Linked DNA regions of Macaca mulatta. The protein of the gene in region 1 purifies or fractionates together with the protein of each later gene. This does not show direct contact. Links are inferred from orthologs where the notes say so. Each region holds a gene or a part of one and is shown in the gene's direction. Other genes may lie near its edges.

Region 1 (7,775 bases):
TTGGAGAGACATTATTTTTGCCATGAAAGTAACTTGTCTAACACCAAAACTAGAAAGTGGTGGAGGTATGATTTGAACCAAGGCAGTCTGGCTCCAGTACGCCCTTTAATGAGTCTTAAACACTTTACTCATGCAAGTTAGGTGACAGGAGCTGCAATGTCCACTATGAGCTACCCACTCCGGGACACAGCTGACTTTATACGTGACTTGTAGTGATGTGCAAATCCTGGTGCTTGGAGAGTGGTCTCTGGAGCCAGGTTCGCCAAGAGTTCAAACCCAGGCTCTGGTACTTCCTGGCTGCTGTAGCCTTGGCCAGGTAGCTTTGTCCTTCTGAAACGCTATTTCCTCTCCTGTAAAATGGTCGATAACAATATTGTGTGGTATGGGGAGGATTAAAACATTTAACAACATGCAAGTCACAGAATATGTACCGTGTCAGTTTTATATGTTACTATTACTGTTGCATTAGTCCGTTTTCACACTGCTGATAAAGACATACGCAAGACTGGGTAATTGATAAAGAAAAAGAGGTTTAATGGACTCACAGTTCCACGTGGCTGGGGAGGCCTCACAATCATGGCGGAAGGCAAAAGGCACATCTTATGTGGTGGCAGACAGGGAGAATGAAACAAGAGAAAGGGGAAACCCCTCATAAAACCATCAGCTCTCATAAGACTTATTCACTACCACGAGAACAGTATAGAGGAAACCACCCCCATGATTCAGTTATCTCCCACCAAGTCCCTCCCACAACACATGGAAATTATGGGAGCTACCATCCAAGAAGAGATTTGGGTGGGAACACAGTCAAACCATAACAACTATCATTATTATATATTTCAGCGAAAGGCAAAGGTTAGCATAGATGAAGGTTGAGGTCCCTTCTGGTCCTAAGATCTATGAATTTGAGGATTGAAGTGCTTCTCTCTTTGAAACCCCCTATGCTACTTTCAGTCCCCACCATACAATTACACTTCCTCAAAATTCATGCTCCATTGTTCCTCACCTTTCAACTCAGCCATTTCTCAATAAAGGTTTGAAAAAGTCAGAGTTCTTTCTCTCTTTCTCTCTCCCTCCCCCGGTTTGGCCTTACCAAGGTCTAAAACACACTCAGATCTGGCCCCTGCCTTGCACCCCAGCCTCGCTCCATGCTGCTCAGTCCTTTCTACCATGTCTCACCAGGCTCTTTCCCTCTCAGCCCTTCAGCCCTGGGGCCCACTTTCATCTCCTCTCCCCATGCTGAGGCCTCCCATTTTCTCTTAGCTTGGAGGCCAGTTCCAGAGCCGGCCCCCACCCCTCCCCTCTGTGCTCTGCCTCAGCACCTCATTTATCTCCTTCATGCACTTGGTACCATTTGTGACAATTTTGCCCTTTATTTCTGTCTCCCTCTCCACCATTTGTTTCTTGCAGTGCTTTTACATTGAGCTCTGGAATAAACAGGTGTCACTGATGGAGCATATCCTATGCGCCAGACCCTGTGCTAAAATTTAACCCTGGAAAAACATTTTTATTCAACAAATACTTTTTTTGAGCACATATAAGCTACACACTGGAAAGTCCCAATACTAAGGGCCTGGAGAGCCCAGAACAGTCAGGAGAACAGGCAATGCCCGTGGCGGGCTAGGTGGTTCGGTGGGGAGAGCACAAGGTGCTGTAAGGTCTCATTCCCCTCATTGAACCAAAGAGGAAATTGGGACTTTGAGAAAGGAGGTGGCTTGTCAGGGGCAGTTCTCAAGCTGTGGTCCATGAACGTCGGGAGTCCCTGAGACCTTTTCAGGCATCCATGAGGGCCTCCCTTTCCCAACTGCATGATTTGTGTGAGGCTGGGGTTTTTCATACCTACAACTAGACAACTAAACAGTATATTTGGAGAGACTGAATGCAGAAGTACACATGAGAATCTAACCTTCCATTAAGCCTGATATTAAAGACATCAGTGAAAATGTAAAACGATGACAGTCTTCTCAATTTGTTTTTGTCTTAGAAAATATAGGTATTTTTAAAGTGTGATTTTTATTACCATGGAATGGAGTTTTATATTATTTTAAATGAATTAATAACTACATTTTTAAAATTCTGCTTTAATTTCTAATACAGCAAATATCGATAAATAACCCACATAAAAATTCTCTGGAGTCCTCAATAATTTCTAGGAGTACAAAGAGATCCTAAGGCCAAAAAAAAAAAAAAAAAAAAAAAAATTACTAATTGGGAGATACAAGTGTCAGAATATACAGTAACTGTTCAGTAATATTGCTGTAAATTAATCAATAGGATTGCCTATTCACAACAGCAAAGGCATGGAATCAACCCAGGTGCCCATCAGTAGTGGATAGGATAAAGAAAACGTGGTCCATATACACCATGGAATACTATGCAGCCATAAGAAAGAACAAAATCATGTTCTTTGCAGCAACATGGATGCAGCTGGACATCATTATCCCAAGTGAATTAACAAAGAACAGAAAATCAACCACTCATGTTCCCACTTACGAGTGAGAGCTAAACACTGGGTAATCATGGACATAAAGATGGGAACAACAAATGCTAGGGATTCCAAACACGGGGAAGGAGGCAGGGGAAAGGTGTTGAAAAATTACCTAGGGAGTACTATGTTCACTACTTGGGCAACGGGATCATTAGAAACCCAAACCTTAGCGCTATGCAATATATCCGTGTAATAAACCTGCACACCTACCCCCTGAATCTAAATTTTTAAAAAAATTACATTAAAAGATAGGAGCGCCTCCTCCTTTACACCACCTGAATTATCATGGCACGTAAGTCTCACACCCTATTTGCCAAGGCCATTCGTTCCTAGCTCTTTTACAGGGAGGTCAGCTTTCTCAATGCAAGTCTGTGGGACGGATGCAGAAAAATTCCCCCAGCCTCCCCTTTGATCCTGCCCCAGCTGGTCCCCGCCACGCTGAGGGACGCGTACCCTGGGACGCGCACCCTGCTGCCCGCAGCCGGAGCCGTTCGCCACACCCCCGTGTTTATGTCGGCCCACGGGGGTTGCCTGTCCCTTTAATTGGCATGTACCAAGTCTTTCCAGGTCACATTTCCTCCCTACGTCCCAGCCGTTTGGAATCATTAGCCAAAAGTCCAAGAGGAGGGAATGTGGAGACAGTGTTGTATTTCTGCGGGGAGTTCTGGGCCGACCGGGAGCGAGAGAACGCTCGAGGACGAAGCGCGCCATTGCGGCCCTCCCCGCCGCGTGCCGTAGTCCAGTCCCAAGATGGCGGCCACCATGAAGAAGGCGGTGAGTGGGGCGCTCGGGGCTCTGGATGCGCGGGTGGCGCCGAATCTCGGCCGCGGGGGTTGGGGCGCGGGATGCTGGGGGTGCGCAGCTCCGAAGCCCGGCGTGGGACCCGAGGCCGAGGCCGAGGCCCTGAGAGCGGCCCCGCGGCAAGGCCTGCCCGCGCCTGGCGCCCTGAGCGTTTTCCTAGGCACCTGGCCAGCCGAGGCGGGGAGCCGGGGCTGGGGCCGGGAGCCTCCGAGGGCCCTGGGCCGCCTCCCGCGATGCCGAGGGTGCCCCCGGGGAGTCTGAGGAATCTGCAGCCCCAGCCTTGCCCCTAAGGTGTGGGAAGTCGAAGGTCTCGTTGAGTGTGGTTGGCCTTGACTCGGGCGTTGCACCGGCATGATCGCATTAGCCTCATTGGTTATGGGTAGCTGCTGCTGGGACCGTGGTTACGGGTGAGGAAACTGAGGCCCAGAGATGGGAAGTCACCTGCCTCAGGTTACGCAGCTCATAAGGGGGACAGCAGGTTCCTGCATCCCCGGATTATCAGGCCCAAGAGCCCCCGTGTCCAACCCGGAGCTGCCCATGTCCACGCTCTATGCCCCTGAGTCCTCCAGGCTAAAACCAGTATTTATTGAAGACGGACGATCTGCCGGCCCAGCAGCCGGCCCTTTATCCGTTATCCTCCCCGCAGCTCAGCAAGTGCAATGGGTTCCTCCCCACTTTGCAGGTAGAGAAACTTAGACACAGAGCAGTTAGGGGCCCCAAAGTGACTCAGCTAGTAAGAAGCTGAGCTGGAGTTCGAACTCAGGTTTGGTTTGGTTTTTCTCAAAGCACACCTATGTAACCACTAAGCAGGCTAAACTTCCATGTCGGGTTTATAAATCCGTGGCTTCCCAGATGTGTAAAGATAGCTAGACAGAAGAAAAAGAAAAGTGGAGAGGGGGAAGGAAATAACGACTGACAATTTGGGGAGCTTTACAGTGTGCTAGGTATAGCTGTACTTTTTTTTTTTTTGGGTGTATTGTTTATCTTATGTACTTTAGGGGAGATACTGTTTTTATCCTTATTTAACAAATGAGAAAACAGGCACGGAGGCAAAGCTAGCATTTAAACACAGGCATTCTGACTCCGGAGTCTGAGTTTTAAACTGCTATAGGGGGTCTTCCATGAGAATCTCTTGGCTGGCGGGATTTGCATTCATTCCACTTTTAAGACCACATTAGAACTTCCTTTGCTTTACCCCCATCCAGTACCACATAGTCTATGCCATCTGTGCCTGGTGTAGGGTGACCCATTGCCCCGTTTTATATGAAATTGAGGGACTGCCAAAACTGGGAACGCCCCAGCTAACTCAAGATGTGTTGCTCACCCTACTATTCTGCCATCCAAAAATTCTTACTGAGTCCCAGAGTAGGGTCCAGGGCCATGGTGATTCAAAACAGTATGAAACTTGGTGAGATTCACTTCACCTCTAGTTTGTGAAATTGGGCCCTCTGGTGTTAGGTATGGCCTTTAATTCCTTGAAAGATACTAGTTGTGGTTCACTCCGTTTTATAGGTATGGAAACTGAAGTGCAGAGAGGTGAAGTAAATGGTCAAAGAGGAAATGGCAGAAGAATGATTTGAACCCTGGATTTTGATTGCAAAATTTCTAATTATCAACTTTTGTTTTCCCCCTTTCATTGATTCAGTAAATTTTTGGGGGCATGTAATATGGCATAGTCTCAGTTTTAAGTGGAGACAACTGCGGTGACCAGTGAGGAAGTTCTTCTCCCCTTATTCTTATAGCCCCAAAGAACGTATGTTCCAGGACAGAGGCAGGCATTACTCACATAGTCACACAGAAAACTAGTTTCTCTGGTGAGAACTGTGAAGGAAAAGTACTTACGAAATGAGGGCCAAAATGAGGTCTGTTTTGAGATCAGAGAAGGCTTTCCTGGGAAAGTGCCATTTAAGTTGAGATCTGTGAGATTATGTAAGGAAAGAAAGGGAGAGTTGGATAGAGAATGAAGCATTCTAGAGAGGAGTATCTGCAGAGACTCTGAGTACATTTAATACAAGGAAGGCCTGATGGCAGATAATCAGGGGAAGAAAGTTTGAGCCATGATGGGAAAAGAACTTGTAGAAGGGTAGGTGGTGGCCAAAATATAAAAGATCTTCGTTAACTTTGAAGCCTTTGAGAGTCACATGATAGATGTAATGTCCTCCTGTAGATGTTTCCAGTGTTATGAACAATTCCCGATAGATTATCTTACATGTACGCTTTTCCCCTTTGCCCTCAATGGGAGAAAACAAACATGTATGCCAGTGAGTGAGAGTGAGACAGAGAGAGAGAGCCCTTTGAGTTTAATGAAAAGCAAATCATGTACAATCTGGAGTACTTTACATTTGTAACACATCGTTATCTCTCAACTGGTCATGATTTTGCTGGGGAGAATGTTTAGATGAGATGATTCAGTACTCTCATCTCTAAAGTTCTGCCTTCTAAGATCCAGTTCTTGACCATAAGGAGATCTGCACTTTGATTTCTGTTGATTATCCTACATACAAATGTTCTTTCCTCAGAGAGGCTACCTTTGACCTTTATCTAAAGAAGCCTCCTTCACTCCCCAGGCCCCCAAAACTTTCTTCTCCTAAGCTATTGTATTTTCATCATCACGTTTGTCACCATCGAACATTATCTCGTTCATCTTGTTTTTTTCTCTTCCTCCACCAGGATGTATGCTTGCCAGGTGGGATAGTGGCTCTCTTGTCATGGCATATAGGAAACAGTAATTGTTAAATAAACTACTGCATGGATGAAAGTTGAATACAAAAATTAGCTGGGTATGGTGGTGTGCACCTGTAGTCCCAGCTACTCAGGAGGCTGAGGCACGAGAATCGCTTGAACCCAGGAGGTGGAGGTCGCAGTGAGCCAAGATCACGCCACTGCACTCCAGCCTGGCGACAGAGCGAGACTCATCTCAGAAACAAAAACCAAAAAAAAAAAAAGAAAGTTGTTGAGTACAAATACAAAGCAAAAGTTTACATCATACAGACTTGGTAGATATGTTTTTAAAAGTAAAAATAAAAGACTGAAATTGGCCAGAATTTATTTCTAGGGACCCAGCTGTCAGTGCAGACTCCGAGTAATACCTAGACTTGGTGTGGGGCATGACCGAGTATGGTTCTGTTTCCTCCTCTAATCCCGTAAGATACTAGTTCTCAAGAAAAGAGCCCGGGGAATTTTAATTTTTACCTTGGATCTCGAGCAGGCGTATTTCTCTTTGGCCTAGCAGAATTTCCTTCTAGATCTGGATCTGTTCTTTGTAATGATTTTTGATAAGCAATATTCAGGATATAAAATGCTTGGCTATCATTTGACTGACTCCATCATCAAGCTTTCTCCCACATGTTCGTTTTATCAACCCTGTAAGGTAGGAACTAGCTTCTTTTTACAGATAAGAAACCTGAGGAGGTTCCATAGAATTGGGTAATTTGCCCAAGATTCCTGTTTGCTTGGATTGGATTCCAGCCTGACTCTCCACCATTCTGTGTGCTGCCTCCGATACTGTAGGATATGAAGAGCTTCCAGAAGAATGCACATACTATACATGCCATTTTGCATACAGTCTCGGGTTAAATTGACCTGTCAATGTCCATTGACCCTCCCCTAGTTAAGAATTACCCACTTCTGGCTGGGCGTGGTGGCTCACGCCTGTAATCCCAGCACTTTGGGAGGCGGAGCCTGGCGGATCACCTGAGGTTAGGAGTTCAAGACCAGCCCGGCTAACATGGTGAAACCCCTTCTCTACTAAAAATACAAAAATTAGCTGGGTGTGGTGGCACGTGTATGTAATCTCAGCTACTTGGGAGACTGAGGCAGGGGAATGGCTTGAACTCAGGAAGTGGAGGTTGCAGTGAGCCGAGATCATACTACTGCACTTCAGCCTGGGCAACAGAGTGAGACTCTCTCAAAAAATAAATAAATAAATAAATAAAATTACCCACTTCTTGCCAAAATGCAGCTTCAAGAAATGTAGGAATATTCTAGGACAGTGAGACTAAAACAGAAGCCTCTGTTAGCCATCAAAGGCACTGACATCTTACCTTCTGCTGTAAACAGCACTCCGTGGGCGGCATGCAGTGTATTTGACTCACACATCAACTTTAGCCCTTAACCCCAGTGGGAAAACCACCAGAAGGATCTGGATACCAGGGGCCAGGTCTGTGCTGATGGCTGTGGTTTGGTGGGGCTACAACAGGAAATACCTGCTTTGGAAAGACAGAAAGCAAATAGCCAAATTCTCTCTACCACATTTTGGAAACTATGTGTTTATGAGTTTGATCAAGCATGATTTAGGTTCAGATTCAGAAACCATGTATTAGCCTCAGTTATGTGCCAGGCAGTCCTGCACTGGATCTGTTCATGTGAATGGCTCTGTTGAGCCCTCACTGTGACAAATGCATCTCTAAATACCTGCTAAGGTTTTTAGGGGTTCAGTATTTAACCAAATGGCATCTACTCTTCAGGCAAACAGGAACTCTTCAGA
Region 2 (7,766 bases), on another chromosome or scaffold:
CTGTTTGGCTGTAGCAGTGCGGCCCTGGCTGTGCATGGAAACCTGGAGGGGGCTGGCATCGTGCTCAAGTACATCATGGCTGGTTGGTGAGTCTCCAAGGGCAAGACCCATCCTAGGGCACTAAGACTCCTGCCCTCACCCCAGGTTCTTTCCCAGGTCTGAATCCTGCCTCTCTTGTGCCCCATTTTCCTCCTATCTCTAGTTCCCTGGCATGCCTGGACCATTTAACCCTTAGCTCCCGTCTATTCTTCTCTTGTAACCAAGGGCCAAAGGAATTTCTCATTGGTTCAGTCCTCTCTACTCACCCACCCCACCACCAATGGTGTTTTCCTATGTATTCTGTTTTAGAGCCCTTACTTTGTATTTCTTTTCTTTTCCCAGCCCCTTGTTTCTGGGTAATCTCTGGGATGTGACTGATCGTGATATTGACCGCTACACGGAAGCTCTGCTGCAGGGCTGGCTTGGAGCAGGCCCGGGGGCTCCCCTTTTGTACTATGTAAACCAGGCCCGCCAGGCTCCCCGACTCAAGTATCTTATTGGGGCTGCACCTATAGCCTATGGCTTGCCTGTCTCTCTGCGGTAACCCCATGGAGCTGTCTTATTGATGCTAGAAGCCTCATACCTGTTCTACCTCCAAGGTTAGATTTAATCCTTAGGATAACTCTTTTAAAGTGACTTTCCCCAGTGTTTTATATGAAACATTTCCTTTTGATTTAACTTCAATATAATAAAGATACATCACTTAAACCTTGTTTTGTGTAGTTTATCTGAGAACATTTAAAGACATGTCATGACTGCCCCCCTTCCTGCTATGTGGTACTGTAAGCTGACAGGAACAGCTTATAGGAGATCAAGTTTGAGTGCCTAGGGAAGAAAGACAAAGACACAGGACAAAGCCTGCTGGGCCTGGCTGGACCTCAGCAGACAAATCTGGAGGAGAAAGGGGCATCAAAATTCTAAGTAGAGACAGGCCCAATGAAGGGTAGTAATAGACCCGTTGAGAGTGTTTTGGCCAGGTACCATCCGTCCATCCTTTCTTCCTGCCTCAGGTATCCTTGGAGTGGCACTAGTGGTTTTTTTTTGTTTTTTTTGAGACAGTCTTGCTCTGTTGCCCAGGCTGGAGTGTAGTGGCACAATCTTGGCTCACTGCAACCTCTGCGTGCCGGGTTCAAGCGATTCTCCTGCTTCAGCCTCCCGAGTAGCTGGGACTACAGGCACATGCCACCACGTCCCACTAATTTTTGTATTTTTAGTAGAGGCAGGGTTTCACCATATTGGCCAGGCTGGTCTCAAACTCCTGACCTTGTGATCCGCCCTTCTCAGCCTTCCAAAAGTGCTGGGATTACAGGCGTGAGTCACCGTGCCCAGCCATGGCACTAGTTTTAATGCCTCAGTTGCCCTGCCTCCCTCCTAAGTAGATGTTAAAGGCTACTGCTGTCTGCCCATGTACACATGTTACACTTACCAATGCGTAACTTTAGCAGTAGAGTCTGTGGATCTGTGGAGTTCTAGTGTGGTTTTTCTCTCCAGTTGTTAAGCTCAAGGGAAGCAAATGTCTTACTCTCACGTATTCCTCACATATAGCACATGGTAAAACTTTTTTTTTTTTTTTTTTTGAGACAGTCTGGCTCTGTTGCCCAGGCTGGAGTGCAGTGGCGCATCTCAGCTCACTGCAAGCTCCGCCTCCCGGGTTCACGCCATTCTGCCTCAGCCTCCCCAGTAGCTGGGACTACAGGCGCTCGCCACCATGCCTAGCTAATTTTTTGTATTTTTATTAGAGATGGGGTTTCACCATGTTAGCCAGGATGGTCTCGATCTCCTGACCTCGTGATCTGCCTGCCTCGGCCTCCCAAAGTGCTGGGATTACAGGCGTGAGCCACTGTGCCAGGTCTTTTTTTTTTTTTTAGAGACAGAGTCTAGCTCTGTTGCTAGAGTGCACAATCACAGCCTACTACAGCCTCCAACTCTCCAGCTCAAGCAATCCTCCCACCTCAGCCTCCCGTGTAGCTAGGACTACAGGCATATGCCACCAGCCCGGCTAATTTTTGTATTTTTTGTTGAGACGGGGTGTCGCCATGTTGCCCAGGCTGGCCTCAAACTCCTGGGCTCAAGTGATCTGCCCTTCTCGGCCTCCCAAAGTGCTGGGATTGCAGGAATGAGCCACCATGCCTGGCCAAAACATTTTATTGATTAATTTGTGCTCTATGTGTTGACAATGGTGCTTCCTTGCTGTTCTCCCACCAACTCACTGGCAACGGGTTATAAACCCTTTTTCAGATCCTACTAGGTGTCAGCCTACTTCCGGCTGGGGGAAGATGGTCATAGCCAGAGGGGAAGAATTAGTTCAGTGATGAGAACATGGTTGGTTCCTGCCTTCAACAAGCTTTCAATCTAATGCCTGATTTTTTTTTTTTTTTTTGAGACGGAGTCATGCTCTGTCGCCCAGGCTGGAGTGCAGTGGCCGGATCTCAGCTCACTGCAAGCTCCGCCTCCCGGGTACACGCCATTCTCCTGCCTCAGCCTCCCAAGTAGCTGGGACTACAGGCGCCCGCCACTTCGCCCGGCTAGTTTTTTGTATTTTTTAGTAGAGACGGGGTTTCACCGTGTTAGCCAGGATGGTCTCGATCTCCTGACCTCATGATCCGCCCGTCTCGGCCTCCCAAAGTGCTGGGATTACAGGCTTGAGCCACCGCGCCCGGCCATGCCTGATTTTTTTCAAGAACAATTCAGAACGGTCTGACAAGGGATTTTTTTGTTGTTGTTATTTGTTTTTTTTTCCCTGCCTTTCGGCCTCAGAGGCCATCTGGGAAAAATAGTTTAGAATTTCCCTGCCATGGCCGGGCGCGGTGGCTCAAGCCTGTAATCCCAGCACTTTGGGAGGCCGAGACGGGCGGATCACTAGGTCAGGAGATCGAGACCATCCTGGCGAACACGGTGAAACCCCATCTCTACTAAAAAATACAAAAAACTAGCCGGGCGAGGCGGCGGGCGCCTGTAGTCCCAGCTACTCGGGAGGCTGAGGCAGGAGAATGGCGTAAACCCGGGGGGCGGAGCTTGCAGTGAGCTGAGATCCGGCCACTGCACTCCAGCCCGGGCGACAGAGCCAGACTCCGTCTCAAAAAAAAAAATAAAATAAAATATAAAGAATTTCCCTGCTGTGCGGGGAGGAATATTTGAAATCGGACCTGGCGGGGTACCAGCAGGCAGCACAAGCAGGTGGGGTAGAGAGGGGCAGGACGAGGCCCCAGGAGCCGTCACCATAGCAACCCAGCCTGCTATCTAGTAGCTTATACCACCCACGTGGAGTAGCATACACTACTTTGTAATATCGTGGTTGTATCGTGAGAACTTTAAGATTTTGCAGTTCCCTATGGGCAGGAGTCCTGTTTGCTGCTACTTTACTGTACTAGGCTTAGAATATTTTATGAAAATAACTGACAGATCAGCCTCTGAGAAATTCAAGCCCCTCCTTCCCTTCCGGGACGGAGGATCATAGAGCTGTATGGCGCAGCGAGGCCTCCTGGCGCCATCGAGACGCGCAGAGGACGGCTAGAGCGTTGCTCGCCGAGGGACTTCCTCTTCGTTAGTCCTCCTTCCCAACATGGCGCAGTCTATTAACATCACGGAGCTGAATCTGCCGCAGCTAGAAATGCTCAAGAACCAGCTGGACCAGGTAGTGACGGGCCCCATAGGCACCTCTTTCCCGCTCTACATCCCCCCTGCCCACGCGTACTTCCTTGCGCCCGGTCCCAAGTTGGGAGCCTACCTTGCCCAGGCGAAACCTCTATCCGGTCCCAGGACCCGCCCCCTCCCCGGCCGCTCTCCCTTTTCCCCATAGCCCTCTCATTGACCCGCTATACCCGTTCTCTGTAGGAAGTGGAGTTCTTGTCCACGTCCATTGCCCAGCTCAAAGTGGTACAGACCAAGTATGTGGAAGCCAAGGACTGTCTGAACGTGCTGAACAAGAGCAACGAGGGTATGGGGTAGGGGGGTGAGGGCAACCTAAAGTGGCAAGCCTGCTTCTCTCGTCCCACCTCCTAATCCAGTTTTTCTTACCTGAAACGAGAAAATCCATTACATATCGTATACCGCTTCATGAACCCTTTGCATGTTGCCTACCTAGAATTGAAATGTACAGGACGTTCCTCTGCTTCTATTGCCCCTGTTTCCGTTCTTTTCACACTGTCTGTGGGTGCTGTGCCCTCTTGGAACTCTCTTTAACGTCTTACATTGGAGCCACTAACCTTCCCCAGGTGTTTGTCTTCATTGCTTTCACAGGGAAAGAATTACTTGTCCCACTGACGAGTTCTGTATCCTTTCCACAGGAACGGCTACCTGCTGCCTTCTCCCTTTCTCCCTCACTCCTCCAAAAAGCAGGGAGGGGGATTGTTTTGATTACTTCAGTACTTCAGATTATCCTCTCCCCACAATGATTTTGATAACACCCTTTTTTTTTTTTAAAGACGGAATCTTGCTCTGTCGCCCAGACTGGAGTGCAGTGGTGCGATCTCGGCTCACTGTAACCTCCGCCTCCTGGGTTCAAGAGATTCTTCTGCCTCAGTCTCCTGAGTAGCTGGGACCGCAGGCACGCGCCACCACGACTGGCTAATTTTTGTATTATTAGTAGAGATGGAGTTTCACCATATTGGCCAGGCTAGTCTCGAACTCCTGACCTCGTGATCTGCCTGCCTTGGCCTCCCAAAGTGCTAGGATTACAGGCGTGAGCCACTGCCCCCGGCCAAGAGTACTCTTATTACACACTTTGTAGCTCTTTTATCTAACTTCACACCAACATCCAGCTAATGCCTTGTGAACACCAAGGAGTATGTATAGTTGAGATGTAATATTTCCCTTTGCTATTTGAGAACATTAATATGGAGATAAAGCTGGTGGTTTACACTTTGCTAATATCTTAGAAGATACAGGTAATAGACAAAAATAGGAGGATATAGGAACAGGGAGGTTGGCTCTGTTAATTGTGGCTCATTTCTAAACTGTCACTAAGAAACCTGGATTGTGTCCACTTGTTCAGTGTTTTACTTGAATGAACAAGTTATGGCAGTAGGGCACCTTTAATCTGTAGTCTGAGAACTGACAGGCTAAAAGGAGCACAGGAATAGTAGTGTAGTAGGGAATGGTTAAAAAAAAAAATTAGCCAGGCACGGTTGCTCACGCCTGTAATCCCCAGCACTTTGGGAGCCAAGGCTGGCAGATCACCTGAGGTCAGGAGTTCAAGATCAGTCTGGCCAACATGGTGAATCCCCGTCTCTACTAAATATACAAAAATTAGCCGGGCGTGGTGGCACACACTTGTGATCCCAACCACTCCGGAGGCTGAGACAGAAGAATCACTTTAACCCGGGAGGCGGAGGTTGCAGTGAGCCAATAGCGCGCCACTGCACTCCAGCCTGGGCAACAGAGCGAGACTCTGTCTCAACAAACAAACAAAAAAAGAACTTCGGTAGGAATTATCTACTTCATGATTGAGGGTGTTAAGGGAAATGAGGCTGGCTTTCCACTTGTAGTACTCTACAACAGTAGGAAAACATTATATCTAGTCTTTCTGATGGGGCTAATGAGAAGAATTGCAAGAACTGCTTAGAGGGTGAGAGATGGGATGAGGCAGAACAAAAGGGTGTTCCAGCATACATCATTTTCTCCTTAAAGAACCAACTTCTCAGTCTTCTTTCCATTTGGAGTTATTGTTCTAAGGCCTCCAGATTATTCAGTCCTTATGCCTTGAAGCTTTTTGGAAAAGGGTCTTTGGAGGCCAAGCAGGCTGGCTGGCGGAATCATGGCTCATGCTGGGCTAGTTTTTGCCTTAATACTTGCTTCTCAGATGTATGTCCCTGGGAAGCTGCATGATGTGGAACATGTGCTCATCGATGTGGGAACTGGGTACTATGTAGAGAAGGTGAGTGAGAGCATGTGGATGCCCCTCTGAACAGGGAAGGGAAATTTAGGGGAAGTTCTAGAGTGCAACATGGCCAGAGGGAGTCTCCTTTTAGCCCCTCATTCACCTCTGATCTTGTAGACAGCTGAGGATGCCAAGGACTTTTTCAAGAGGAAGATAGATTTTCTAACCAAACAGATGGAGAAAATCCAACCAGCTCTTCAGGAAAAGCACGCCATGAAACAGGGTAAGTTTTTCCTGGGGCACCTCTTGACCCTGTCTATCTCCATGATAAAGAACGTGGATTGCAGAGTGAACCACGGGGGTGTCCCCTTTGCTGGAGTAAAACTACGTCTTAGTTTCTCTTTGGAATCTTTAGAATCTGTGTATTGCATAATCACTATCTGTAGATTCCTGGGTTGAGTGTTTGAGAAATTTAGAGGAAGGAAATCATTTTTGTGCTTTGGTGGAGCTCCTTTTTAATGAGGATGGAATGGGGGAATGAGATGAACACACAGGAAGGAATCATGATCCAAATGAACTAAATACCAGCAATTATAACCCTGACCGCACATGAGAATCACTCAGGAAGTTTAAAAAGAAAGCCTGGGTCCATGCCAGATTGACTAAATCAACTTGGAAGTCAAGGGAAGGGAAGTTGTACCAAGGTATGTTTTTTTGTTTTAAAAAAGCTCCCCTCTGTTACAATCAGGATTCAGAACCAGTGTTCCGAAGGTAAAAATCTTTCCACATTATAGTTTTCTGATTATGTCAGACTCATTTAATACCAAGTGTGTTCGTTTTTATATATCTGATTAGCAGGGTTTTTTTTTCCCCGAGACAGTCTCATTCTCACCACACCCAGCTGTGGTTAACATATTGATTGATGCATTGTAGACCCTAAATTTGTGTTAGCGACCCCACAGTGGATCACTGAGTTAAAGTTTTATTAACAGTGCCAGACACGGTGGCTGACGCCTGTAATCCCAGCGCTTTGGGAAGCCGAGGCAGGTGGATCACCTGAGGTCAGGAGTTCAAGACCAGCCTGGCCACCATGGTGAAACCCCGTCTCTACTAAAAATACGAAGTTAACCTGGGCATGGTGGTGCATGCCTGTAATCTCAGCTATTCGGGAGGATGAGGCAGGAGAATCGCTTGAACCCCGGAGGCAGAGGTTGCAGTGAGCCAAGGTCGTGCCACTGCACTCCAGCCTGTTTGACAAGAGCAAGATTCCATCTCAAAAAAACAAAAAAGTTGGCTAGGCACGGTGGCTCAAGCCTGTAATCCCAGCACTTTGGGAGGCTGAGATGGGCGGATCATGAGGTCAGGAGATCGAGACCATCATGGCCAACATGGTGAAACCCCGTCTCTACTAAGAAAATACAAAAAAACTAGCCGGTCAAGGTGGCGGGCGCCTGTAGTCCCAGCTACTTGGGAGGCTGAGGCAGGAGAATGGCGTGAACCTGGGAGGCGGAGCTTGCAGTGAGCTGAGATCTGGCCACTGCACTCCAGCCTGGGTGACAGAGCGAGACTCCGTCTCAAAAAAAAAAAAAAAACAAAACAAAAAAAAAAACGTTTTATTAACAAACTGTAGTTAGTTGTCCACCTGTCCTTAAACTTGCCTATAACTTCTCCTTAACTCTAGGTTCTCCTTTTTGCTCCTAACCTTTGACGCTTCTTTTTTTCCACAGCTGTCATGGAAATGATGAGTCAGAAGATTCAGCAGCTGACAGCCCTGGGAGCAGCTCAGGCTACTGCTAAGGCCTGAGAGTTTTTGCACAAATGGGGCAGAGGGACACGGCTTTGGGCATGGCTTCCTGGTGCTGGGAAGGGTCTTGTGTTTAATGCCAATAAATGTGCCAGCTGGGCAGAA

What was found. Proteins that work in one complex are often made in the same cells at the same time.
Region 2: the proteins of PFDN4 (region 1) and PFDN5 purify together in Homo sapiens (affinity purification with mass spectrometry; 5 studies listed by BioGRID and IntAct, counting the BioPlex papers as one, with this or other methods). This does not show direct contact. The link is inferred for Macaca mulatta from reciprocal best matches to the Homo sapiens genes PFDN4 and PFDN5.

What each region holds. Positions count from the first base shown.
Region 1 is NC_133415.1:107,033,218-107,040,992, forward strand, and holds the start of PFDN4 (prefoldin subunit 4), read left to right. Parts: upstream 1-3,128; 5' UTR 3,129-3,238; coding exon 3,239-3,262; intron 3,263-7,775. UniProt on the Homo sapiens protein: Binds specifically to cytosolic chaperonin (c-CPN) and transfers target proteins to it. Binds to nascent polypeptide chain and promotes folding in an environment in which there are many competing pathways for nonnative proteins.
Region 2 is NC_133416.1:60,437,561-60,445,326, forward strand, and holds PFDN5 (prefoldin subunit 5), read left to right. Parts: upstream 1-3,589; 5' UTR 3,590-3,601; coding exon 3,602-3,673; intron 3,674-3,873; coding exon 3,874-3,976; intron 3,977-4,278; coding exon 4,279-4,310; intron 4,311-5,839; coding exon 5,840-5,914; intron 5,915-6,034; coding exon 6,035-6,140; intron 6,141-7,584; coding exon 7,585-7,661; 3' UTR 7,662-7,764; downstream 7,765-7,766. Other genes in the region: ESPL1 (separin), read left to right, coding at 1-86, 382-583. UniProt on the Homo sapiens protein: Binds specifically to cytosolic chaperonin (c-CPN) and transfers target proteins to it. Binds to nascent polypeptide chain and promotes folding in an environment in which there are many competing pathways for nonnative proteins.